Linked DNA regions of Canis lupus familiaris. The protein of the gene in region 1 purifies or fractionates together with the protein of each later gene. This does not show direct contact. Links are inferred from orthologs where the notes say so. Each region holds a gene or a part of one and is shown in the gene's direction. Other genes may lie near its edges. The genes, in order: WWP2, NDFIP2, PTPN14, LDLRAD4, POLR2M, AMOTL1 and GPN3.

Region 1 (3,500 bases):
TCCATGCCAGGAGCCCAACGCGGAACTCGATCCCGGGACTCCAGGATCGCGCCCTGGGCCAAAGGCAGGCGCCAAACCACTGAGCTACCCAGGGATCCCCTGTTTTTTTTTTTTTTTAAATTTAAATTCAATTAATTAACATATAGTTATTATTAGTTTCAGAGGTAGAGTTCAGTGATTCATCAGTCTTATATAATACCCAGTGCTCATCACATCACATGCACTCCTTAGAAACTTGTTGATTTCAAAGAAACTGTCTATGGAAATGATAGGGCTATAATTATAACTAGTCAGCCCCCACACTCCGACCCTTTTTAAGAGTCTGTGTGCAGAGCTATTCCCACACCACCAGGTGGCCTCAGTTAACCTTGGTCTCTGTGAAAGGTATTTCAGTTTTCTACTCTGGACCACATTTTGCACCACCACAACCTGTTTCTCCTAGTACCGTCCCTTATTGGTTTTGAATCTTAGCCACAACCTTTGCTGCTACTGTTCTTTGACTTGCTCTCTACTGTTCTTTTGAGCCGGGAAAAGACAGGTATTGCTAAAAGAATCCAGAGGTAGGTTTGTCCTTTGTCAAGTTGTTAACCCTTACAGGACTCTCACCTTTCAGAAGGGCCTGGGAGGGAGAGGTTTGCTCAGTTTTGCTTCATGGGTAATAAATGCCAGTCACATGCTCTCATTTGGGGCATGGGTTGGAGGCTGTCTTAGGTGTATTCCATCCCAGAGACCTGGAGTTTCTACCATGGCTAATGCATGCTATAAGAGATGATTACCTGCCCCTGGGTGCATGCTTGGTGAGCTCGGTTTGCCGGTACCAAATAAACATCAGAAATGCTGCCACATGAAGGATACAAATAGAACAGGAAATGCAGATGGCTGACAAGCACATGGAAAACATATTCAGATTCACTAGTAATGGAAGAACGACAATAGAATAAGCAAAACCTGATAATGACCTATAGCGTGGTGTGGAGTCGGGTAGCCTGGGTGCACATCCTGGTTTGAAGCTTCCTAGCTCTGTCACCTGAGGCAATGACTTAACTTCCCTAAGCCTGCTTCCTCTTGGATGAAATGAGGGTGATGGTATATTCCTTGCTTCATGGATTTGTTTTAAGGATGTCATTAGATAATGCGTGCATAGCCTAGTGTCATAAGTGCTCTTTAAATCTTACTTAATTTGTATGATTTCTTTTTTTACCTCTTTGATTGCAAATAGTGAAAAAATGTTATACTCTGCACGGTGGGGGTGAAATGGATATATTGGCATCTACATGGGTTTATCTTTTTTTGCAAAGGAATTAAGCAGTTTGAAGAACTTTAAAAGAACATTCATATCATTGGGAGGAATACTCACGACTGCATGCAAATGTATATATTCATGATGATTTTCCCAGAGTGAAAAGTTGGAAGCAATTATTCAGTACTGAAAGAATAGTTAACTAAATTATGGCACGCCTATTGGCTCATATTGCAGCCATTTCAAATTTATTTTTGGGAGGAGAAGATTCTTAAAGAATTGGGGGCATAAAAGATGAGAGTCTGGAAAGTCTGGATTTGCCAACATCTTAATGATAATTATCCCAGTATTTTCAGGTGTGGAGTGCTTTTTTTTTCTTATGCTTCATATTTTTAAGATATCCTCACATTTTTAAAAAAGTAATTTTTTTAGGATCAGAAAAATTCCAAAACTTATTTTTTAGAAGAAACAACAAAAAAGAGTGAGAACCTCTGCCACAGGGGGGCAACAGGGAGCCCTGGGACTCATTTTTGACTTTTCCTTCCTTTCCTGTCCAGTGGTGTCAGCAAAGCCCAAGGTGCATAATCGTCAACCTCGAATAAACTCATTTGTGGAGGTGGCAGTGGATGGACTCCCCAGTGAGACCAAGAAGACTGGGAAGCGAATCGGGAGCTCCGAGCTTCTCTGGAATGAGATCATCATCTTGTAAGAGAAAGTCCTTTCTCTTTGCAGTAACACGGGGGAAAGAGAGAAGGTGTTCCAAGAGGGTTGCGGGGGATACAGGTTTCCTGTGACGCCCCTAACTCTTCTGCCTTTGGTACCCAAGGGACCTCTCTTCAGGTGTTTTTACATCATTGAGCTCACAGAGCATTCATTATTAGCTAGATGGTTACAGGGTCAGCTTGGTGGGGGAAAGAGTACACACGTGAGTGTCTTCCTGTTGGAGACTTCTGCCTCCCTCCAAGATGTCAGCAGTAGGTTTATCTGTTTTCTCCTAAGTTGTGAGAGACCAGTATGCTCGGATTTGATCAATCAAGTATCTGTTTTCCAGGAATGTCACGGCCCAGAGTCATTTAGATTTGAAGGTCTGGAGCTGCCATACTTTGAGAAATGAACTGCTAGGCACAGCCTCTGTCAACCTCTCTAATGTCCTGAAGAACAATGGAGGCAAAAGTACGTATGATGAAGGGGTGGCGGATGCGATTCGTTTGTGGGGGTGGGGAGAAGAATTGGAAGGCTTGGATTTCTCTAACACAGCATGGATAGACCTGGTGATGCAGTTTCCTCCAGGCCCAGGGGCCACAGGGGCCACAGGGACTGTTCCCCTTTTAGGAAGGCAAGAGCTCCTCTAGGTCTGCACTGCGGCATTCAGCCTCCTTTGTCCCCCGGCCTACTGATGGGATGCAGTGATAAGTCCCCTTGATCCTTTCTGATGTGTCCCTCTGCCTCTGCTCCTCTTTTCCTAATCCAGGAGGCATGTGACATGTGGAATCACACTGTCCGATGCCTCCAGCCTAAATCATTCCTAGTCTGAGTCCTCGAGCAGAAGAAAGAAGCTGTGTGTGTGTGTGTGTGTGTGTGTCGTGTGTGTGTGTGTGTGTGTGTGTGTAGGGGGGGATGGTGTTACAAATAGTGCCTTGTGCTTAGTAGGCACTCCGTAAATGTTTACTGGATATTGGAATGTGATGGAAGCTCTGTCTTAATTATTCAGGGTGCCTCTGCTGCATGGAAATGTAAATCCTGACGTCTCTTTATGGTGCTTGTGGTCAGTAGCATAACCCGTGGCTGTGGTATCTGGACCCTCCCTCATAAAGCCTCTATTGAGAGCAGTACCATATGTGGTGAGGGAATGCCACGGAAAGAAAGGCTCCTTTTTCTCTTGATGTCTGCTGTCTAGAAAATATTTTCTGAAAGTGGATTTAACTTGAGAGGTGTGGGGGTGGGGAGCATTGGGTCCCAGGGTGAGTGCCGCCTTGATTCAAGAGTCTTTTCTTTCTGAGTCTGTTCTTTCTTTCTTTCTTTCTTTCTTTCTTTCTTTCTTTCTTTCTTTCTTTCTTTCTTTCTTTCTTTCTCTCTCTCTCTCTCTCTCTCTCTCTCTCTCTCTTTCTTTCTTTCTTTCTTTCTTTCTTTCTTTCTTTCTTTCGATTTTATTCATTTATTCATGAGAGACACACACAGAGAGAGAAGCAGAGACAGAGGGAGAAGTAGGCTCCATGCAGGGAGCCTGATGTGGGACTCGATCCTGGGACCCCAGGATCAT
Region 2 (3,500 bases), on another chromosome or scaffold:
AGGTAGAAGATAGCAAAATCAGCATCTAGTATAAGAAAAAAGAAAATTGAGTGTAAGCAAGTTTTATTTCCAGTAGCATCTCCTGATTTTTTTTGTGTTTTTTTTTTTTTTTTCCGGAAAAGATATAACCTACTGTATAAAAAATATGGGTACTAATAATGGTTAACATTTCTTAGCAATCACTGTGCCAGGTTCTTTACTGTGCTAAGCCCTTTAAATTCATTATCTCACTTAATCCTCTTATCAGCCTTGTGAAGTAGATCGTACAGATCAGAGAACTGGCTCACAGAAGTAAGCAGTGAGTCCCAGGTCATGTATCTAGTGAGTGATACATGTCACATTGTGATTCAAACACAAGTCTCTTAATTTCAAAATGCATTCTCCTATTGTATCATATAATATAGCTTACTATAAATGATCAAGAAAGCTGTGCCTAGAAGGCATTAGGAAGGAAGAAATTATAGGAGTAGGAAAATTGCTTTGAATAAATAGCTATTTTATTTAAATTTATTCTAAAATGTTTCCTCTTTGTCTTCAGAATCCTGAAAAATCAGCATTTCTCTATGTTTTCCCTGAGGGTTAGTTAGAGATATTGAGGATAAGAGGATGGGCACTGAACAGGACCAAAGTCCTGCTCAAATTGATTTTCACTTTTATTATCATTTCTATTATTATCTTAGACACACACAGATAGCGCATTCTGATGATATCTCAAGGACCTGTGTCGGAATGGTTTCTGCTACAAGTTATAGAAAACCCTTACTCAGCTGTTTTAAATAGGTGGTTATCTCACAAAACAGAAAATCCATAGACAAGGGGATAGACAAGCAGACTCAGCCACAGCAAGTATTAGTTCTGTGGCTCTGCTTTTCTTTCTCTTCACACTCTCTAGCCCATGTGGAGTTATACTTTAATCCTCTGGCTGAGGGCAAAATCCCTGCAGCATTTCCAGGTGTTATATTCAAATTAGAAATCCAGTGGATAAGGGGGATTTTTTTTTTCTTTTTAACATTTATTGTAGAAATTCTCAAACTAGGCAGGAGTATAACCTGTATGTATTTATCACTCAACTTCAACAATGATCAATTTAGAGCCACTGTTATTTAACCTATATTCCATCCTCTGTCTCCTTGATGTGTTTTTAAGAACCAAAGAATGCATTTCAAAGTCCTATTAAAAAAAAAAAAAAAAGTGGCAGGGGCTCCTGTGATTTTCCCAGACTACTCAGGACCCCTCTCTTTTGGGGTTAAGTATATGATCTAGCCTTCCTTAAAATAAAGACTCTGTTGGTGGGTGGGTTCCAGAAAAGGGGTAAAAGTAGGTTTTGTTAGATAGGAAGAGGCAATGAACAGTACCTCCTCTGGAAACATTTTATAATTTGTTTGGCTTATCTTTAATATTGCTTTTTAAAAAATCCAGTTTAGTTAGTTGATTGCTTAGGCTGGAATTCTTGGGTGGGATCACATGGGAGCTGAGCTACATTATGACTTGATTTTTAGCTGGTTTAAAAATGCAGTTTTACCTATTGATAAGTTTTAAGGAATTGATTCCTGTTGACCAGACTAACAAGAAACCAAGCTTATCTGTTTGTTAATGTGTAATTAATAACCAATATATTTGCAAAAGGTAAACTACGGCCTATAAAGAAGATTTAATTGGTACAAAGTCAAAAGAAAGGGAATTCTTACTTCCATTGTGCAATGAAGTATTGTTAATATTATGTCTCTGTTAATTTGTTTCCAAAGTGTGGTCCTTAAAAGAACTATTTCTCTTGCTTTTAGTGGCATTTATTTTCAACTGGCTTGGATTTTGTTTATCCTTCTGTATCACCAATACCATAGCTGGAAGGTATGGTGCCATCTGTGGATTTGGACTTTCATTGATCAAATGGATCCTTATTGTTAGGGTGAGTGTCTTAATAGCCTCTATCACTTTGATCTCTAAAATTAAAATCTATGAAATTTCTTGTGTGGTTCATAAATATTCCTTTTACATATATGAATCAATTATTTTGAGGCTTATCTTTTATACTTATTGTAGTGATCTCTGTGTTAACATTTTGATGCTTTATTATATGAGAGCTTACTATGGAAAGAGCTTTGAAATCAGAAAAAAATTTGAGTTTGAATCTTACTTATATCAGTGTCCTAACTTTAAATTTTTAAATTGTTCTGAGAATTTCTTCCCAATAAGCTGGTATTAGCTGCCTTTCAGGATTTCTGTGAGGCCTAGCAGTAATATAATTAAAGCACTTGCCTAGTTGCTGCACAAATACAGGTGCTTGGTAAGCTGTGGCTGCATCTGCTGTGATACAGTGCACACATGCCTAAAATCAGGTAAAACATAACATTTTCTGTTGGTTAGTAAAATTCTCAAGGACTTAATTTCATCTTCTCACTCTTTCTTTTTTGAGAGCTCAAAAAACTAAGACCTGTGAGGTGTCTATCTGAACTCACCCATTTTCTGTTATGTTCCCTTTCCACCTTTCTTATTTCCCTGTTGTTCCTGGAATTCACCCTTTATCTACTTCTTAGCACTTACCACATGGTGTGTAGGGAGATAATGCTAAGTCTTTATCCCATATCAACAGTTTGTCCCAAAATAATTTTCTGTAACCATTCCAGTGGCAGTAGCCCTGTTTGCATAGTCTTCCCCCACTCTTTACCTTTGCCTCTTGGAGGCCCCTTTTAGATCCTTTGGTTCCTGTTACAAAGCCTTTTCCCTAATTTCTTTATGTTAGACCTAGGAGAATGATCAAGAATGGTTTGGGGGCACTGAATGGCTCAGTAAGTTAAGCATCCAACTCTTGATCTCAGTTCAATTCACATCTTGATCCTCAGGGTCATGAGTTCAAGCCCTGCATTGGGCTTACCTTAAAGAAAAAAAAGAGTGATTTTATTTATTTTTTTAATGAATTTTCTTAAAAGTAACCCACATATTTACATGCTACTATACAATTGATAAAATGCTTAATTTCTACAAACATATTTATTTAAACATTGATTTCTAAATGAGTGAGTCACATCCTCCTAAAATATTCAGTAGAATCACATACTTAATGTCAGCTTCTCTTAAGTGCTTCAGACACTTCAGTTATGTACCTACATCAGCAAATTGATTTAAAAAATTAATATTGGACTTAATGTGTTTCTTCATTATTTTTGAAGTTATGGCTTCCCAGAGTTTCAGTAATTTTATCAGACCTCATTCATCTCTGTTCAGACCAAATTATAGATTTTGGTTATTAATCAGTTGATTCTTGGGTGCGACATGACTTGGCTTCTTCTGAGATGATTAAAACCTGAGCCAGTGTAAGAACAGCCCCCTGGCGGATTCTTTTTCTAATTTCATTTAAAAAAATGTGAAGTGGATTCCCACCATGAGCATAAATGTGTTAAGATGTTAGCATACAAAGATAAAGCACAATCCCTGCCCTGAAAAAAGTTATTACTAGAAAAACCTCAAAATAGTTGAAGTTAATTGTGTCCAATGGTTATTAT
Region 3 (3,500 bases), on another chromosome or scaffold:
TGTACATACCGTTCTTTGATTAGATTCCCTTTTTCTTTTTAGTATGCTTTAAAGTGTTCCTTCTGTATGTTGGCCTCTCACCCAAGAGTTACTAGTTTTTTCATGGAATATGTGGGTGGAGACCACAGAATTTCACTTTTAATGACTTCTAAAAATCATGCGCATGAGTGTGAGGATGAACTTAATTGGAGCAGGATGATGTGGAGGCTCACGTGCCTTTGTTTGACTTCTTATAGACAGCATTTTCCACGGGAATGAAGAAGCCTTGTATTACAACTCTCACAACAGTCTGGATTTAAATTATTTAAATGGCACCGTCACCAATGGCAGCGTGTGTAGTGTTCACAGCGTCAACTCCCTCAGCTGCTCCCAGAGTTTCATCCAGGCTTCTCCTGTGTCCTCCAATCTCAGTATCCCAGGGAGTGACATCATGCGGGCTGACTACATCCCTAGCCACCGGCACAGCGCCATCATCGTGCCATCTTACCGGCCTACCCCCGATTATGAGACAGTCATGCGGCAGATGAAGAGGGGGGTCCTGCACGCCGACAGCCAGAGCCAGTCTCTGCGAAACCTCAACATCATCAATACGCATGCCTACAACCAGCCGGAGGATCTGGTGTACAGCCAGCCCGAGATGCGGGAGAGGCACCCCTACACTGTCCCTTATGGGCCACAGGGAGGCTATGGTCACAAACTTGTCAGTCCATCTGACCAAATAAACCCAAAGAATAACTCGGTGCCGAGCAAGCCGGGGGCAAGTGCCATCTCCCACACGGTGAGCACGCCAGAGTTGGCCAACATGCAGCTCCAAGGCACCCAGAACTACAACACGGCTCATATGCTCAAAAACTATCTCTTCAGGCCGCCACCCCCTTACCCACGGCCGCGCCCTGCCACCAGCACCCCAGACCTCGCCAGCCACCGCCACAAGTACGTCAGCGGCAGTAGCCCCGACCTGGTGACCCGCAAAGTGCAGCTGTCCGTGAAGACCTTCCAGGAGGACAGCTCCCCGGTGGTGCACCAGTCTCTCCAGGAGGTGAGCGAGCCCCTCACGGCCACCAAGCACCACGGCGCAGTGAATAAGCGCCACAGCCTGGAGGTGATGAGCAGCATGGTGCGGGGCATGGAAGCCATGACCTTGAAGTCACTCAATATCCCCATGGCCCGCCGAAACACGCTCCGGGAGCAGGGGCCACCCGAGGAGGTGCCAGGGAGCCACGAGGCCCACCAGCTTCCCCATTACCACCACAAGAAGACTTTCTCCGATGCCACCATGCTGATCCACAGCAGTGAGAGTGAGGAGGAGGAGGAGGAGGTCCCGGGATCGGTGCCCCAGATCCCTGTGCTCCGGGAGAAGATGGGGTACAGTGCCCAGCTGCAGGCGGCCTTGGCCCGAATCCCAAACAAACCCCCACCCGAGTACCCTGGCCCAAGGAAAAGTGTTAGCAATGGGGCGCTACGGCAAGACCAGGTCAGCCTGCCTCCTGCCATGGCCAGGGCCAGGGTCCTGAGACACGGGCCAGCCAAGGCCATCAGCGTCTCCCGCGCTGACCAGCTGGCAGTGGCTGGGCCTTCCCTGGGCCCGTCCATCTCTGAACCCGACCTGACAAGCGTAAAGGAGCGGGTCAAAAAAGAGCCTGTGAAGGAGAGACCCGTGTCTGAGATGTTCTCCCTGGAAGACAGCATCGTAGAGAGAGAGATGGCCCTCAGGGTAAGTGTCCTCTGCTCCGGGGCAGTGTCGGCGTCCCCATGACACAGGGTGTAAAAGCACCAGGACCGAAGGCAGTGCGAGGCTGATCCAGGGAATGTGTTAGGGAATTAGAGCATCAGTTGGCATTTCAACGGGCAGTATTTTATTTCACAAAACTTTCGTTTTTCCCCTTTCAGTCAAATCTTCCATTTTCATTTGGGCCTTTTAATTGCTGTGCTTGGCGCAAGGCACCACAGTGGAGTCAGGATGCTGCAGGTTGTTTGGGCCAGCATTGTGCTCTTTATTCAGGGTCAGACGTCCTGTTGTGTGAGCTACTGGGAGCTCTCCTTCCTACATTTCTTGTTGGTTCTTTTAGGGAGAAGCATTTTTTTCCCTCAATTAGGTAGTAAAAGAGCAACATCCCTTCAGAGCGCAGCTCTGTGTAGAGAGCTCTATGTCAGAGATGGCTCACCAGTAATGACTGGACCATGACGTGTTCAGCTTTATTTTCAGATTTTCTTTCAGTAGATGCTTAACACAAACCAAAAACACTACCGTAAACTCACAAGTTCATCACTGAGCTTCAGTTCCCCGTTAAGCTCATTCTCTCGGTATTCACACACATGCATGTGAACATACGCGTACATAGACACACACGTAAAGCATTTGGAGATGCCTGATATTAGACATAAATAACTCTTACTCAGGATACGTACCAGCTGGAGAACCAGGTATATTGTAACAGCAAGAGTGTATAGGTAACAGGTGCACACACAGACCAACAAAGTGCATTATCTCCTAGTAATGAGAAAATTGCTAGATTGTAGTTGCTACTTTAAGATTTTATTTATTTATTTTATTTTAGAGAGAGTGAAAGAGATGAGTGAGCAAGGAGAGGGCCAAAGGGAGAGGGAGAGAATCTCAAGCAGACTCTGCACTCAGCACGGAACCTTACTGGGGGCTCAATCCCATGACCCTGAGATCATGACCTGAGCTGAAACCAAGAGTCAGCCACTTAAATGACTAAGCCACCCAGGCACCCCTGTAGTTACTACTTTAAAGAATATTTCAGATCACCATTACTCCTTGTTTTAGAAATTTCCTTAAAAAAGTAAAAGAATTGGGCAGCCCCCGTGGTGCAGCGGTTTAGCGCCGCCTACAGTCCGGGGGTGTGATCCTGGAGACCCGGGATCGAGTCCCACATTGCACTCCCTGCATGGAGCCTGCTTCTCCCTCTGCCTGTGTCTCTGCCTCTCTCTCTTTCTGAATAAATAAATAAATCTTTAAAAAAAAAAAAAAAAGTAAAAGCATCATTTCATTACAAGTCATCAAACCCATATTGACTTCTCCTCTGCAGGTACCACATTTCTACCATAGGGTAGCTGGCACTTACTTTAGGAACTCCAGAACAGTTGCAAGCTAAAATTTCCTTTGATGAGGTTCTTAGGCTCCCTTCCTCTAGAAGTCTCCCTGCACCCCAGTGGTTATCAAACTAAGGAAAACAGTTAAAGACCAAAGTTTTAAGAAAGCCACGTTTTTGGGTTCAGGAATCTAATCCGTAGGAACATTACTACTTTCGACAAATTTTCAGAGCATTCCCAGCAGCACAGTTTTGGCCACGAGTTAGAGTAGTGCTAAGAATTTGGTACAGGCATAACTTTTTCCACTTTTTGCAAACCTAGAGGGAAATTGTGAAAGATATGCCTGTGCCCCTGGCCAATAAAACCATTTGGCTGGGGGATGGAATGAAACACGGGGGTGGCGCCCTGGGGGAGAGCTTTCCCAGCCTGGAAAAAGTAATGAATGC
Region 4 (3,500 bases), on another chromosome or scaffold:
TATTAGTGAAAAAGGGGGCTTAATGTTCTCAGACAGTGGCCCTTCATCCTGGCTGCTCATCAGGGTCATTCTGAGGATCTGTAGTGACAACCACTGCCCAGTCTGCACCTTGGACCATCAAGACCAACTCTTCGGGCTGGGGCTCAGACATCAGAAATGTTGAAAGATGCACAGCTAAAGTCAGAGCATCGCATCTAGGGTTCTTAGTTTCAAATATCAAAAGAAACTGGTTATTAGCGGACTACTCATGTCTGTACACACGGGAGTTTTGGATAGCAACGTATGGTGGAGACGGCCTTGTAAGTCAGGATCCAGTTGAAACCCTGCCTCTTTGGCGGGGGATGGGGGTGACTGGGTGACAGGCACTGAGGGGGGCACTTGACGGGATGAGAACTGGGTGTTATTCTATATGTTGGCAAATTGAACACCAATAAAAAATAAATTAAAAAAAAAGAAAAAGAAACCCTGCCTCTCACTTGATGGAATGAGCACTGGTTATTATGAGCAGCTGACGAGTCGCTAAGTTCCACCTCTGAAACGAACAATATACTATATGTTAATTAAATTGAATTTAAATACATTTTAAAAGCTTGCCTCTGTCGATACCAGTTATGTCACTTTAGAGTTTTTAAGTTTTACTTAGCAATTTCATTCCAGCCTTAGCATTAATCTTTAACACTTAATAGCATCATAGCAATTTTCTAGTATTTTCTATATCACATCCGGAAGTCAAGAGATTCCAAATTTCAATCTAGTTGTTTTGATTCAAGTGGCCATGTGACGGAAAGGCCTTTGGTTGTATATCTAGCTAGTGACTCAACATTGAGAAGATTTAGATTTTTTGAGTTTGAAATTCTGTGGGTTGATATTGATGTTTGTATCATCTAAGAAGTGAGAATTATGTGATTCATTCATTTATATCATCAATAATATGTGATTCACCGAGTGCCTTTTACTTGCTGGGCAGCACCCTAGATGTGGAGGATATAAAGAAAGATAAGTCCTTGGAAAGAGTTAGAAAATCTATGGGTCACTTCTCACATTATTAAAAAAAAAATTCATGTTGTAAGCCCTTGGAAGAGGACTTGCTCTTTCATCTCTGTGTTTCCATGTCTTAATACCTGGCACATAACAGAGAAGGGGCCAAAATATTGATGATATAAATGAATGAATCACATAATTCATTTCCTTGAAAACATTTTGTTCTCTGGACTGGGCCTCGCTTGAACAAGTTGACATGAGTGAAGTGTGGGTGTGGTTCCATGTTCTTGTCAGTTTAAGGTTCCACATGACCTGGAACGTGGAAGTCTAACAGCAATGGTTAATTCTTTAGTTGGAGTTTAATTCAATTTAGGTTAACATTCCCTTTATTCCAATTACCATTTCAACATCATCAGCCTGTTTTTGGCTAATGTCCTTTTCATGTTTGGTATTAATCCGAACTCTAATATTTCTTTTGGGAAGAAAAATAAATTATTTTTCTTGACGTCCCTTTTTTCCATTGAGTTAAAAGCCCCTTCATAAATGTGATTTCAAACAGCTGGGTTTTAACATTTGTACCTTATGGGAAGAGCACTTGGCATCAGCAATGTTCCTACCACGTGGCCTGGATCACATTTAGTGCACAAATTTTTTTAACCTGGACACTGTGGCCAGTGAAGAACTTGTAGGACGTGCATTTGGGCTTTGTTCACCTGCTGTTCTAAACTAGGTCAAGGGGAGGGCTGGCGTCTTCTAGGCTCTTTTAGGAAAATGCAAACAAATGGGGGAACTCGAGTATCTCTTTCATACGGGGTCGCAGAAATACTTTGAGGATTTACGTTCTGTCTCTTTGCAACAGGTAAAGGGGTTATTCTCTTTGCAGCCCTCTTTGTTGTTAGCGTAGCTGGAGGAGGCCTCGGTGTGCTGATGCCCAGTCTTTTATTTTAATAATGGAATTTTAGCATTGAAGGGACCTTGGATTTGATCCATGCCTGCCACCCATGTTCTAGGCAGACGAAATAGGGGAGAAATGAAGAGGGTGTGATAGTCAACATGAGCAGGGGTCTGGGATGCTTTTCCAGACGTTTTGTTTTCTACCCACTGACTCGTACATAGCGTAAGAGTTCTGCTGGCTTTTGTGGGTGCTCCTAGGAGAAAGCTCATAGTCAGAATGCGAGGTGATATTTAATGTAAGATGCACATAGCTATTTCTGTGCCCGTGTGTATATGATTGTGTAATTTCCATTATCCTTAAATGTTTACATTGACAGTAATGTGTTAAGTTTGCAAATTTATTTCAAAGTCTTATAAAAGTATATATTCCAGTTTCATATATTGGTTTGTAGGGATTTCAGGGATCCCATGTTCAGTGTGGCCTACAAAGATATGGGCTGGGCTTCATCATAGTCTTTAAGTTACTCACATGGCCCTTGGCACATATGTTTCTCAGGTAACAGAGAACACACATTATTTTCCTATGTTTTTTTTTAAAGATGTTATTTATTTATTTATTTATTCATGAGAGACAGAGAGAGGCAGAGACACAGGCAGAGGAAGAAGCAGGGTCCATGCAGGGAGCCCGATGTGGGACTCGATCCCAGGACCCCGGGGTCATGACCTGAGCCAAAGACAGATGCTCACTCAACCACTGAGCCCCCAGGTGTTTCCTACGTTTTACATCATAAAATCAGTGCTACCCCCGCCTACTATTAAAATTGCTGTTTCTTAGGCACGAGATGAATGAATACCAGAGAGGCTAAATATTTTGCCCCGAGTTTCACGACATCCAGTGACAGTTGGAAATAAAATATGTGAGCCTCCTTTTGTTAAGCTTGAGATCTCAAGTTCTGCTGGACCCCCAGCTGCTGCTTCTGAGGCTCCCCACATTCTTGGAGGCTTAGAAAACTGCCACAGATGTTTTCAAGCAACATAGGAACCCCATATCTCTGACTTTGTGGGGCAAGTTGTGGAAAGAAAGCACCTATGTTACTCGTTTTGTGGGTCAATGACCACGGGTGAGTGATGTCTAGCAGGCCCAGAGCTCCCCTGGACGCTGTCATGCGTATTTCATAGATAGCCCTCTCTGAGTTCAGTTTTTTTGGGGGATCTGCATGCAGACCCATTTCCCAAACTACCATGGCACGCAAATGGGGAAGGGAAAGGAAACCAACCAAAGAGCATGGAGCTTGCATCGCCTACTTTATGCTCTCTATTGTCCTTTTTCAGAGTGCAAATTCACCTGCACCAGCGGGAAATGCTTGTATCTTGGTTCACTGGTCTGTAACCAACAGAACGACTGTGGGGACAACAGTGATGAAGAAAACTGCCTCTTGGTGACTGAGCACCCACCTCCTGGCATCTTCAACTGTAAGTCCCTCCTACTTACCTCGGTATCATTAAGTTGGATTGTTTTTTGAAATAATTAGGAGGTGGGGTCATAGAGAAATGGAGAGGGTGTTGATTTTGGCTTAAGAAAAGAGATTTTGTGCTTTCACAGAGGGAATGCTTTTTTTTTTTCT
Region 5 (3,500 bases), on another chromosome or scaffold:
AAGCCTCATTACATGGAAGTGCTAGAAATTCGAGCCAAAAACCCAGTGCCCCCAGCACATAAATTTAAAACTAATGTGTAAGTACTATCAGAAACAGGCTGGTCACAGAAATGTACTATTTGTTAAACCAAAAAAAAAAAAAAAAAAAAAGGAAGGAATGCTTTCAGTTCAGTGGACTTTGTGTGGGACCTCCTTATAGTTAGGAAAGAGCATATTGTGGAAACAGCCTGGCCGGAGTGGAGGATTCATGCTGAAAAATACTTTAGGTTTTTAGCCAAATTGGATAGGTTTCACATAGCAGGTGAAGTATTAAATTTCAGGATGCTTAGCCAACATTTGATATTAAACCCAGAGTTGAGAATTTATTGTGACTATTTTCCACAACAATTGTTTGTTATGCAGTTCCCCCTTTGATTAGACTGTAAGCTAAGGGGAAAAAAGCTGATGGACTTGTCATCAAAACATATTAGTATGCTGACTATATGTAAGCAGGTGGTGCTGAGGTGACACAGAAGTAAAGGTCCTGCTCCTCAGGAGTTCAGGGTCTAGATGAAAACCCAAGGCTTCCACACTTGGAAGAACTTTGAACTAGACCATAACAACTTGAGGGGGAAGGTAGCTGAGAAGGGGTTAAAGACACAAAAACATTTGAGGCAGGAGGAGCAAACCTTGCTTCTGAGTTCCTCGCCATAGTTTTGTTACTGAGATCTGCAGAAAAAGAGAAGCTCTTTGAAGAAAAAAGGATGTTACTTCCTTGTGTGCAGATGTAACATTCACCTCAGGGAGTAGCCACTGGTATCCTACCTGTCTGACTTTAGCAGGGTATAACATCATATACAAAGTGGAATCACTACTGCCTGCCTTTGAAAAACTGAAAACCTCTAGTTAAAAATACCTAAAACTTTCAAAGAACTATAGAACTATTACAAAAAAACTTTCAAGTTCAACCCTGCCATTTTTTTTAACTTGAAAACATTTTATTTACTTCTGTATAAAAACCAGAATTATAGAACATTAATTTTTAGTGAGGAACAAAAAGTAATCTTTGTACTCTTTCTAAGTAATCTCTCATCTTGTGTTCAGGGAGGTACATTTCCTTACCTCCAGGAAGCTGGAAAACCTAAAGCATCATGTAGTCAGTGGATACACTGATTGTGGTAGTGTGGTCATTTAGCTGGAAGTCAGAGTGGGGAGAGCCAGATGCTTCTTGTCAGAGCAGATCGGGAAAGGCTGGGCCTGGATGAGTCTGTTAGGTGTTTGTCGAGGGATTCCAAGAATGAGCAGTTTTTGGCTTTTTTTCTGCTCTTCCTTTGGCCTCCTCCATGCCATGCTGGCTCCATGTACCGCCTGGATGCTGGTGGCTGCCCCTCATCTCCCTCTAGCTTCGGTCTTTATAGAACTTCAGATTTGCGTGGCCAGTTACCAATGAAACCTGGCCCTGTGGGTGTTTTGTGGCACTTTAGATTTATATATAGCATAGAACTTTTACTTCTTCCCATGCTTTCTCCCATATTCCCTAAATTCATAGTGTCAGCACTTTGTTTTTTTCCCTAAGGTGTCTTGCTTTTGCCTCATCTCTGTATCTGCCAGCTGTAAAGACCTACATAATATATTTCGTTGACCTTTATCTCTGATCATTCTTATTTTTGTCCTCCTGTCAAAACGAAGGCTCTTATCCCTCTCATGGACTATAACTGGCATGTTTTGGATTCTAGTCTTAACTCCAGCAGTCCATCCTCTCCACTGCTGTCAGAGTGAAATTTGTACAATGCAAATCTGAACCTATTATATAGAACAGAACTCTTCGCTGAGGACTGGGCCTGGTGTACTTACCAGCCTTACCTCGCTGCCTTTCCTGGCCACCCCACCCCCTGAACACCCTTTGTGCAGCACCATGTTGGCCCTCACTCCCTGTTGGGATGCCTTTTCCCCTCATTGACACAGTGAGCATTTATTATTCCAAGACTCCTCAAAATTCACTTTCTTAAAGCTTTTCTGACAGCCCCCTCCCCCGTCTCCCAATAAAACTGGTCGTTTACTTTATGTTGCACTGTGCCAACATGTATAGTATGTATACCACCTCTATGTATGGTATTATCCAGGTGGTATTGTGTTGCACAGAAACTGTCCGTAAGTTTTTTTCCCTTTACTGGACAGCAAACCCCTTCGCAAATGTTTTTTGAATGAAAAGATGGAAAGACGGCTTCAGTTCAAGTGTAAGGTTGGAGGAGTGAAGGAAAATGCAAAGAACTTACCAGTCTACCTATTTGTTGAAACAGTGGATTGTCACATTATTCTCCAAAAAGGTGCTAATTTACATACTGGTTTTGAAGTATGTTTAGAAACAGGATTTTTACCTACATATATAAATACTGGTAAACTCCTTACTATTATCTTTTTAGGAGAATTCACTGCTAAGGTTGAAGGCCACTTCTGTGTGGGAATGTTGTAAATGTGTGTCTGTAAAAAGAAAGTAGTCCGCTGATACAAATTTCCCCTCCTTCAGATTACCTTCGCAACATAATGATGAATCTGCATCTAGCCATTGGCAGAGAAGAGGGTCTCCCCTTTCCTCAGAAGAGAGGCGGCTCAGGGATAAGCAGCATCTCGATGACATCACAGCAGCTCGCCTTCTACCACTTCACCATATGCCCACCCAGCTGCTCTCCATAGAAGAATCTTTGGCACTTCAGAAACAGCAGAAACAGAGTTATGAGGTATTTAGAGCTCTAAATGTTTCTTGTCTGTGTGTTGGATGCTGCTAAGTCAGAATTTACTCTGGAAAGTTCAGAAAGGATAGGACTCGATAGAAGGGAGTAGGTGCTTGAGAAATGGTCAGCTAATGCCAGTAGCTTTCAGATGTGAGCCTCTAGTTCTCTGAGAGTCTTGAAGCTGCTAGAACCACAGGATGCAGCTGGAGATGCTCACAGCTAGGTGCAGCAGCTGAGTGGTTTTTGCCAGAAAATACGGGGAGGAGACTACTGCAAAATTCCCCAGTCTCTTAAAGCCCATGCTGTCAGGCTAGCAGAAGCCTTGCTTCTCTGTCTTCTACCTTGGAAACGCCATGCAAGAGGTTCTCGGTGGTAGAAGCTAACCAAGAATCAGGGAGAACTTTCCCGGTTTCTGTCTCTTGCCAGACAGGGAAGAGCGTAATGTTGGGAGAATACTGTGGTTTTATCAACATGTTCAGACAGTAAACTTAAAAGCATGATCTGTAAGCCCCTGTGAAGACAGAAGAATCGCCTACCTATGGTGACTTAATTTCTTACAGCACTTTCTTCAAAGATCTGGGACTTCTGCCCAGGACTCTAAGCACGTATATGGACAGTTTGTGCACAGAGTAATGAGATGGGAGGAAATAGTTGTGCAGACTGGAGGGAGAATAGAAAGCATCCAATATCCTTAGATAGTAAGAGTTTGAACCTCCAGGAAAATAGCCTAACTTCCTGGCATTGCTTTGCTAGATCTTAATCAGGCACTAGGCACTATTCAAGACAAAA
Region 6 (4,205 bases), on another chromosome or scaffold:
ACCACCCTGCTCTGAGTTCTCATAGCTTCCTTTTTCATACTCATCTCACAGCAAAGATCGATTGGCAATTTTCTTCGCTATCTCAGTAATTCTGTCAATGGCCCCTCTACTCCTGCCTGACTTTTGCTGTGACAAAGGCTGGCCCCTGCTGCGTCAAATCCTCTCCACCCTCAGCCACAAGCGCTCATCCTTCTCTTTTCTCCACTGCCCACTGGGCTGGGCAGCAGTGAATTCTGCTGCAAGAAACCTTGGAAAAGAACAACACCCACACACACATGCATATTCTAGAAAGAGAGAAGAAAATAGGCCAGGAGCTCACTCCAGGCTCTTGCTCCAAAAGAAGAGTAGTTTCTTTCTCCTTAGCAAAATGTTCTCGCAGAGGCACAAAGCAGAAGGAGCCTGGCAATTCCATTTTAAATAAACTCGTGCTCCTAAATTATCATATTTCAGATTGGAATCCCATCCTCCCCACCTCGGCCCCTGGCCCCATTGCTCTTTATTCTTCGTGAAGCCTCAGTGGGGAAATGTGAAAGCCACTGATTAAAAGAAGCCTGTGATGGGCCTGCCACCAGCCGATTCTGATGAGACACATCCAATTAAAACAGACAACATTTTCAAAGACCCCAGGCGGGCATTTCATCTCCTCAGCACTTCCTCCAACATGTCAGCATCACCTGAGGCAGTTCTTCCTTTTTTTTTCCTCCCCCAGTATGAAATTTAGGTCAGTAACTGCATAATCCACACAAACAACCCTGGCTGCCTCTCCTCCCTCCTCCTCCTCCCTCTGGAGTTGTCTGTTTGGAAATACATAATTGGGCCCAAATGCTTCCTCCAGCTGACTCCAGTGTTTGGGGTGAGGACCGGGCCGGGGGGTCGAGGGGGCTGGGGACTGCTGCCTCTGCTGCATGCAGGACGTGCAGTGAGCAAAGACTGGAAGGTTGGTCGTGTGATTCAGTAGTGAGATCAAGCCATGCTGCCCACCCAGGGGGCCTGCTGGGCCATCTTGCAGTGATGGTGACGTCAGATTCTGTGCCCTCCCCTGAAAATCAATAATGTGGCCTCAGCAGGGCCACCAGTTCTCAGGGTCCAGCCTTTCACCCATAAAAGGAGATGAGCCAGCCGGATGTCTACACCCATCGTTGTTGCTCTGGTACTAATGTACATAGGCTTCCACAGAGCCTTTTGGAGGCAGGCGCTCTGTTAGGGGGTGCGGGGCCAAGTGTGCATCTGTGTCCACTTGTTTCTCTGGATGCCTTTGTGAGAATGTCCAGATCCCAGGGAGATGGGGAGATGGGTGTCTGCAAAGAGAATCCCCACTCAGCCAAACAAGGCCAGGGAACTGGCTTCCTTCCCGTGCTCTAGCTGGGACAAGCATTGTGCTTGCCACAGAGGCAGAACTATTTTCTCAAACAGGAAAACAGATTCTGTGCTTGGAAAAGTGGGAGACAGAGTAGGCTGGCCGCAGCACGCTGGGCGGAAGAGGATGTAGGAGGTGTTTCCTCACCCTCCTGTCTCTGGCTGGCCTGTGTGGTATGAGAAGACTTCTGGCATTGGCCAGGTAAGCTCGGGAAAACTATCCCCCTACATTTTTCCACAGGAGAAAACAGGGAGACAGGCATAGAAACAGCCACCTTGGTTTTGTCTGACAGACTGTACTGCAGCCCTTAAATGGTTCCTAGGGAACTTTGGGTTGAGCTGTGGTCATTCTGCCTCTGTGGGATCATACTCCACTACAGGGACATATGCTTGGAAGGGACCTTAGGTGTTATCTCGTCCAGCGTGTCCAATCTGCAGATGAGAAAATAGGCCCAGACAGGGCAGGTGACCTGCCATGTTCACACAGAGAGCTACTGGTGGAACTGATGGACCAGAGACTCCTGACCTCCAGGCTGAACAAATTTCCATCAACTTATGGCCTTCCTCCCATCCTAGTTTCCTTCTTTTCTGTTTGAAAATTAATTCAACACAATCCAGCAGGCATTTACGGAACACCTGCCTTGTTGCAGGCACTGCGTTGGGCACCAGAGATAAAGAAGTGAAGTGAGCCACCTGATGATGTTCACTGTGTACTAAGAGAGAAATTTCTGCAGGGAAGGAGGTAGGGATCAGCATCCTATTACCTTACCGGAGCTCCAGGTGCACCTATATCTTACTCAATAGTGTCACTGGCTACATTGAATTATAAGTGATGTTTTAATACTCAATACTGAGGTCTTGAAGGACAAAGACTAGCTGACTAATTTTGTATCCCCAGTGCCCAGGAGAGTGTCTAATACATGGTGACTGCTTAGTAGATACTTTTTTTTAAAAAAAGTAAATATGGGGCACCTAGGTGGCTCAGTAAGTTAGTTTAAGTTTTTTTAAATAAGTAAATATGGGGCACCTAGGTGGCTCCGTAAGTTAGGCATCAGGCTCTTGATTTCAGCTCAGGTCATGATCTCAGGATAGCGAGATTGAGCCCCACATTGGGCTCTGCGCTAGGCAGATTCTCTATCTCTCTCCCTCTTCCCCTCTCCATTCATTTGTGCTTTCTCTCTCTAATAAAGTAAAATAAAATAAAATAAAATAAAATAAAATAAAATAAATAGATGAGTATTTACTGTTTCACTTAAACATACTAATCTGACAAGTTATTCTTGTCAGTTTTGTCATGTATAAAATAAGGATAAGTACTTTATTTTCCAACTCTGGCAGACAGCTTGTATAGTTTTACCCCCTTATCCACTGTTTCACTTTCCATGGTATCAGTTATCCCTAGTCAACCATGGTCCAGAAGCAGATAATCCTCCTCTGACTATTGTCAGGTCAATAGTAGCCTAACAGTAGGTCACAGTTGCATATGTCATTCATCTCACTTCATCTCCTCATGTAGGCATGTTCTCATTTCACATCATCACAGAAGAAAGGTGAGTATAGTAAAATAAGATATGTTGAGAAGGACCACATTCACATAACTGTTACTACAGTATATTGTTATAATTATTCTATTTTATTATCAGTTGTCAATCTCTTGCGCCTAATTTATAGATTAAATTTTATCATAGTTATGTATGTATAGGAAAAAACATAGTATATATAGGATGCATCCCTATCTGTGGTTTTAGCCATCCTCTAGGGTCTTAGGACACATCCCCTGTAGATAAGAAGGGACTGACTACTATATTGGAATAACCTTTTTGTTAAGAACAACCACAAAAGCAGAACTATAAAACCAGACATACATATATTGAAGGTGTAATACGTATGTCTATTTAAGAGTACATATGTGTATAGATACATAAATATGTAAATATATACTTTAGAATTATATATGATATATCTAACATATTTTATAAACATAAAATTATATATAATTATGTATTACAATATATTATATACTTTCAAAGTATTTATAATTACTTATAATGTGTGTGTATATATACACTTTGATAGGAACAAAGAAGTGAGGACTTTAATGATCAAAGTCCCAAAAAGAAGGAAAAAGAGAAGTTGGTCTGACATTGGAAGTGAATTTTTCCCTCCAGATATTTGCCGGTTTCTGAGTAGCAGTTAAGAGGCCGAGAATCTGAACAGGAAATGGTGCATGGGAGCTGAGCAACTGAGCAGAGCTGCAGTAATCACTTTGATTTGGAAAGTTAAAAGTTGGAATTATGAGCCCATCAGGGTGGAAGGACCCTGAAAAACACACTGAAAAGCAACACACGAGGAGTGAAGATGAACCTGAAATGCCAGTCATCATACACTGAGGCACATTTCAAATCAGCTTGATCTCAAATTGATTAACCTGATCTGCTTCTCCCCTAAATACCCAATAGTGTGATTAATGGATCCTAGGGTAGTTCTATTTTCAACTTTTTGAAAACCTCTGAAAAAGGTTTTCCATAGTGTCCCCACCAGTGCAAGAAGTTCTCACTTTTATCCACATCCTACCAACATCTGCTGTTTCCTTGTATTGCCCAATTGCCTTCAGAAGCAAGTCCTCTCCGGAGAAAAAGAATATCATCTAGAACCTTGAAATATCTCTACCATTCTTGGTCCACACACAATTACTAGCATTCATTCTGAAGTCATCAGACAGACCAAGAAAAAATAACATAAAGGTCAAAACCAAGAGAAAAATTGACCAGAGAAAGAAACCAATAGGAAGCCCAGCTATTGCAGTTATGAGTTTGTACATATTTAATGTTCAGAATAATATCTGGTGC
Region 7 (4,189 bases), on another chromosome or scaffold:
CTAGGATCCAGCACTTTGTCAAGCACTGTAATGAACAGCAAAGACAAGAGTCTTTTAAGTCTTTGATGGGTGCCTGGGTGGCTCAGATGGTTAGTGGGTGATCCTTGATTTGGGCTCAGGTCCTGATCTCGGTGGTCCTGCTTGGGGCTCCACACTCAGACTTGAGGAGTCTGCTTGAGGATTCTCCCTCTCCCTTTGCCCCTCCCCTCTGCACGCACCCACTCTCTCTAAGACAAATAAATCATTTTTAAGAAGCCTTCAAACACTATATATATGTTTCATTCCCTATATATATTTCATATACATGATGTATATATGTATACATTTATGTATATACACATTCCATATGTATGAGTGTGTGGTGTGTGTGTGTGTGTGTGTGTATATACACACACACATATAAATAAATGGTCATGGGTGCAGCAGGAGCCATGACTGTGTGCTTTTGGAAAGGTACACCCTGAAGCTCTTTCAGGTAATAACTGATGGAAGGGATGAGAAGGTACTGAAGACTAATTGTCTTCAGCATCCAGGAACTATACTAAAAGAGCCTTCTCAAAATAAAATGGATTTATGAAGAAAAACTTCAGTGGGAAGAAAACATCAAGATCAACGTACCCGTAATATTCATAATTATCTGTCTCATCGTCATTATGAATCCCCTGGACATAAAAGTGGCCAACGTGACACCCACAGAACTGGTTTATTGACTTGGAAAGCCTCGTTCGAACCTGTTTCTGCCGTGCCCCCCAACCCCCTCTTTCTGTAGAGATCCTGTGGCCAGACGGCATTTTCCAGCAGGTTTCGCAGCGCCCCCTCGGGGCAGAAAGACGCACGCAGGCAACTGTCGCAGTCCCGGCGTTTAGTCATTGCACCAACGCTCGGCCTTACCTCACAGGCCCTTCCCGTAAACAGCGAGGCGGCTTCCATGTGTGCCACCCCGGCCACAACAGAGCTTCCCCCTTCCTCTCAGTTCAGCGCACTGGGGGGTCAGGCCACGGGAGCAGCCGGCTCCCACCCCCTCCTCCGCCGGGGACCACGACCTGGGCCGGTCGGCGTCCTCCCTCACCCCTCAGGGCCCCTCAGCCTCACCCGCCGCCGCCACCCTCGGTCCCGGCCACTGCGGTTGGGTCCGCGGAAGAGCCGCATGCCGTCCAGTCGGGCACCGGACACTGGCCGGGCATCTCCGCCCCGGCGCCCGGACCTCGAGCGGTGTGCGGAAGCAGCCTCCCCCTCTCCCCTCCCCCGGCAGCACGCGTGCGTCAGGCCGGGCGCTATTGGGGGTGCACCCGCGGACGCCGGATTCTAGCCCCCGCCGAGGCGCTCCGGGCACTGCCCGAACGGCTTCGGGAGAGCGGGGAGGGCAGAGACCAGACGCTGGAATTAGAGAGGGGAGGGGCAGGAACTCTCTAGAGGGTTGCGCGCTTGCACGTTTTGTGGAGGGGATGAGTCCTCTTCCACGGGAAGGAAACATACACGCCCTCTAAAACAGGAGGTGCCTTCCACCTCAGGATTCCCGGCCCTCTAACAGCTTTGCAAACGTTGGGTGTCGCCAGATAGGTGAGACGTTCGTACGCGAACCGAGGACCGAAGTCCGCGGCGCAGGGATGCGGAGTGCGAGCCGTTAGCCGTTATCTCCAAGGCAACCAAGCTTCTCCAGCGTCCCAACCGCCGATTTCCGCCACTACCTCCGCGCACACTCTAACCGCTGCCCGGTCCGCCCCGCCCACGCCGAAGTTTCCCGAGAACGGGTTTCACACGAGATTTGATCTGCGGGACGCTCCGTAGCCAGGGATGTAACAACGCAGGGCGCAAAAGGACTGTGGGTTGCTATTGGTGGTCACGTGGTGTTCCCGGAAGTCAGTGAGCGCCGCGCGAAGGCTGAAGGGAGCGGGCCGGTCGGGCTCCGTGAGGCGTGGCGGGCCCAGCCCGGCCCCAGGAGCGCCGGCATGCCTCGGTACGCGCAGCTGGTCATGGGCCCGGCAGGAAGCGGGAAGGTGAGGCTTTGGCGTTAGAACAGGAGAAAAGTCGGAGCTCGTGGGAGGCAGGGGGGCTGTGGTCCTGACGGAGGGACCGGCGGGTGCGTGCACGCGGACCCTTCGGCAGAGCGCTGCTGCAGTCTGGGCTTCGTCGCTCTTTGTTGCGATTTTGAAAGTGGGGAAAATAACAGTGGTGGCTAATGCTTAGAGTATACTTATGCCCCAGATACTGCGTTTAAACTCCTAACTTATTTCCAGAACAACGTTGTAGGATAGGTCTTGTTCTCATTTTTACGGATGGGAATTTTACAGAAAATGAGACACGGAAAGGTTAAGTTCTTTTCCCAAGATCACGCGGCTGGAATTTGAATCCAGTTGTGTGTAATCCCAGAATCCGCTCCTGTCTCGCTCATAGAAAGTTCAGGTGAGGTCTCATTAAGTCAGTTTCTCAGAGCTTGAAACATGGACTTCTGGTCTTTGAGGCGATTTTAGGAGGTACATGGCCTAACATTAGTGAACATTGGATCGTATATTGATTGAGCCCCATGTTGGGTGTAGAGAAAACCAGGGGTAAGGCTCCTGGCTGATTCATTTGGTGGAATGTGAGTCTTGATTGAGGTCAGTAAATTCTAGAGATCATAAATTGAGAAAATTACTCCCTTTTCAATTCTTTCAGTTTGCATTGAAGTGAAATTGTCAGTTTGACACCTGTGTATCTTTAATACTTTCTTTTTTTATGTTTGAGCCCCATGTTGGGTGTAGAGATTCCTTAAAAATAAAGTCTCTAGAAAAAAGAAGAGAAAAGTAGAGAAGCGCTTTCACTAAAGTTACTCTTGAGTCTCAGCCAGGTCTGGATCTACAGCCCAGTCAGATGTCCTGACTGCCAGCCTAGTACCTGTTTTCAGTCGGCTTTTTGATCAATGAAGGCATAATTTTGGCCTCAGTGGACACCGACCAAGGGATATAGGGTATCCATTTTGGGGGTGCAGGGGTAGCACTACACTGCCTATTGCTTTGACCCCATGATGCCTTGTGACATTACAGAGCACCTACTGTGCCACTATGGTCCAACACTGTGAAGCCCTCAATCGGTCTGTCCAAGTTGTGAACCTAGATCCTGCAGCAGAACACTTCAACTACTCCGTGATGGCTGGTGAGTCCTGAACAGAGCCTTCCCCCTCCTTCAGGAAAAATGAGGGGGTGGAGAGGCCATGAGTGCTGGCTGCTTGGTACAGAAGGTGAAAACTTAATTATTATAGTCTGCTCCCCTGCTTCATGATGAAATGTGTGACATTATCCTTTCTTCGTCTTAGTTTAAGAATTGAGTATCTTCCCTCATACCTCTTTTCTGTCCTTTTTTTCCCCACTTTTGTAAAATATTTTATTTATTCATTCATGAGAGGCAGAGACAAAGGTCCTCCATCCCAGGACCCTGGGATCACCCCCTGAGCCTAAGGCAGACGCTCAACCACCGAGCCACCCAGGCATCCCCCCTTCTGTCCTTCCATGCTTAGCCTGCTGTGGTGAATCGGGTTTACTGCAGGTCATAGTATTAGCGAGCAGCTTAACTGTTTGTTTGTTTTTAATTCTTTTAGAGGCGCCTCCTACCCTCTCTCTTGGGAAAAAAATTTAAAAAGAATTTTTTTAAATTTATGTTTCTTTAGAGGGAAAATCTTTTTTTTTTTTTAAGATTATATTTATTTATTCATGAGAATACACAGAGAGGAGAGAGAGAGAGAGAGAGAGAGGCAGAGACACAGGCAGAGGGAAAAGCAGGCTCCATGCAGGGAGCCTGACATGGGACTCGATCCCAGGTCTCCAGGATCATGCCCCGAGCTGTAGGCGACGCTAAACCGCTGAGCCACCAGGGCTGCCTGAGAGAGAGAATCTTAAGCAGGCTCCATGCCCTCCATGCCCAGTGTGGAGCCCAACATGGGGCTTGGTCTCAGAATGGTGAGGTCATACATAACCTGAGCCAAAATCAAGAGTTGGACACTTAACTGACTGAGCCACACAGGTGCCCCTAAAGTAAAATTCTTTCAATTTATTCATTCAGATGTCTTTTGAACACTTACTTTATGCCAGATGCCAAGGTTCTAGCAGAGAACAAGGCAGACATTATCCTTTCATTCATGGACCTTTTAGTGAGGAGATAAGCAAAATGATAAACATTAAAGATTGTGATAATGACTCCAAGTAGTCAATGAGAA

The links.
Region 2: the proteins of WWP2 (region 1) and NDFIP2 purify together in Homo sapiens (affinity purification with western blotting; 3 studies listed by BioGRID and IntAct, with this or other methods). This does not show direct contact. The link is inferred for Canis lupus familiaris from reciprocal best matches to the Homo sapiens genes WWP2 and NDFIP2.
Region 3: the proteins of WWP2 (region 1) and PTPN14 purify together in Homo sapiens (affinity purification with mass spectrometry; 3 studies listed by BioGRID). This does not show direct contact. The link is inferred for Canis lupus familiaris from reciprocal best matches to the Homo sapiens genes WWP2 and PTPN14.
Region 4: the proteins of WWP2 (region 1) and LDLRAD4 purify together in Homo sapiens (affinity purification with mass spectrometry; 3 studies listed by BioGRID and IntAct, counting the BioPlex papers as one, with this or other methods). This does not show direct contact. The link is inferred for Canis lupus familiaris from reciprocal best matches to the Homo sapiens genes WWP2 and LDLRAD4.
Region 5: the proteins of WWP2 (region 1) and POLR2M purify together in Homo sapiens (affinity purification with mass spectrometry, with the first as the bait; 3 studies listed by BioGRID). This does not show direct contact. The link is inferred for Canis lupus familiaris from reciprocal best matches to the Homo sapiens genes WWP2 and POLR2M.
Region 6: the proteins of WWP2 (region 1) and AMOTL1 purify together in Homo sapiens (affinity purification with mass spectrometry; 3 studies listed by BioGRID and IntAct, counting the BioPlex papers as one, with this or other methods). This does not show direct contact. The link is inferred for Canis lupus familiaris from reciprocal best matches to the Homo sapiens genes WWP2 and AMOTL1.
Region 7: the proteins of WWP2 (region 1) and GPN3 purify together in Homo sapiens (affinity purification with mass spectrometry; 3 studies listed by BioGRID and IntAct, with this or other methods). This does not show direct contact. The link is inferred for Canis lupus familiaris from reciprocal best matches to the Homo sapiens genes WWP2 and GPN3.

What each region holds. Positions count from the first base shown.
Region 1 is NC_049226.1:80,497,101-80,500,600, reverse strand, and holds part of WWP2 (NEDD4-like E3 ubiquitin-protein ligase WWP2), read left to right. Parts: intron 1-1,797; coding exon 1,798-1,945; intron 1,946-2,291; coding exon 2,292-2,413; intron 2,414-3,500. UniProt on the Homo sapiens protein: E3 ubiquitin-protein ligase which accepts ubiquitin from an E2 ubiquitin-conjugating enzyme in the form of a thioester and then directly transfers the ubiquitin to targeted substrates.
Region 2 is NC_049243.1:32,872,612-32,876,111, forward strand, and holds part of NDFIP2 (NEDD4 family-interacting protein 2), read left to right. Parts: intron 1-1,781; coding exon 1,782-1,906; intron 1,907-3,500. UniProt on the Homo sapiens protein: Activates HECT domain-containing E3 ubiquitin-protein ligases, including ITCH, NEDD4, NEDD4L, SMURF2, WWP1 and WWP2, and consequently modulates the stability of their targets. As a result, may control many cellular processes.
Region 3 is NC_049228.1:12,224,324-12,227,823, reverse strand, and holds part of PTPN14 (tyrosine-protein phosphatase non-receptor type 14), read left to right. Parts: intron 1-236; coding exon 237-1,714; intron 1,715-3,500. UniProt on the Homo sapiens protein: Protein tyrosine phosphatase which may play a role in the regulation of lymphangiogenesis, cell-cell adhesion, cell-matrix adhesion, cell migration, cell growth and also regulates TGF-beta gene expression, thereby modulating epithelial-mesenchymal transition.
Region 4 is NC_049222.1:24,835,031-24,838,530, reverse strand, and holds part of LDLRAD4 (low-density lipoprotein receptor class A domain-containing protein 4), read left to right. Parts: intron 1-3,207; coding exon 3,208-3,348; intron 3,349-3,500. UniProt on the Homo sapiens protein: Functions as a negative regulator of TGF-beta signaling and thereby probably plays a role in cell proliferation, differentiation, apoptosis, motility, extracellular matrix production and immunosuppression.
Region 5 is NC_049251.1:23,186,821-23,190,320, forward strand, and holds part of POLR2M (protein GRINL1A), read left to right. Parts: coding exon 1-77; intron 78-2,506; coding exon 2,507-2,717; intron 2,718-3,500.
Region 6 is NC_049242.1:6,356,557-6,360,761, reverse strand, and holds the start of AMOTL1 (angiomotin-like protein 1), read left to right. Parts: upstream 1-1,405; 5' UTR 1,406-1,558; intron 1,559-2,006; 5' UTR 2,007-2,098; intron 2,099-4,205. UniProt on the Homo sapiens protein: Inhibits the Wnt/beta-catenin signaling pathway, probably by recruiting CTNNB1 to recycling endosomes and hence preventing its translocation to the nucleus.
Region 7 is NC_049247.1:8,520,174-8,524,362, reverse strand, and holds the start of GPN3 (GPN-loop GTPase 3), read left to right. Parts: upstream 1-1,389; 5' UTR 1,390-1,949; coding exon 1,950-1,997; intron 1,998-2,266; exon of another isoform or gene 2,267-2,403; intron 2,404-3,023; coding exon 3,024-3,132; intron 3,133-4,189. Other genes in the region: protein FAM216A, read right to left, coding at 1,093-1,184. UniProt on the Homo sapiens protein: Small GTPase required for proper localization of RNA polymerase II (RNAPII). May act at an RNAP assembly step prior to nuclear import.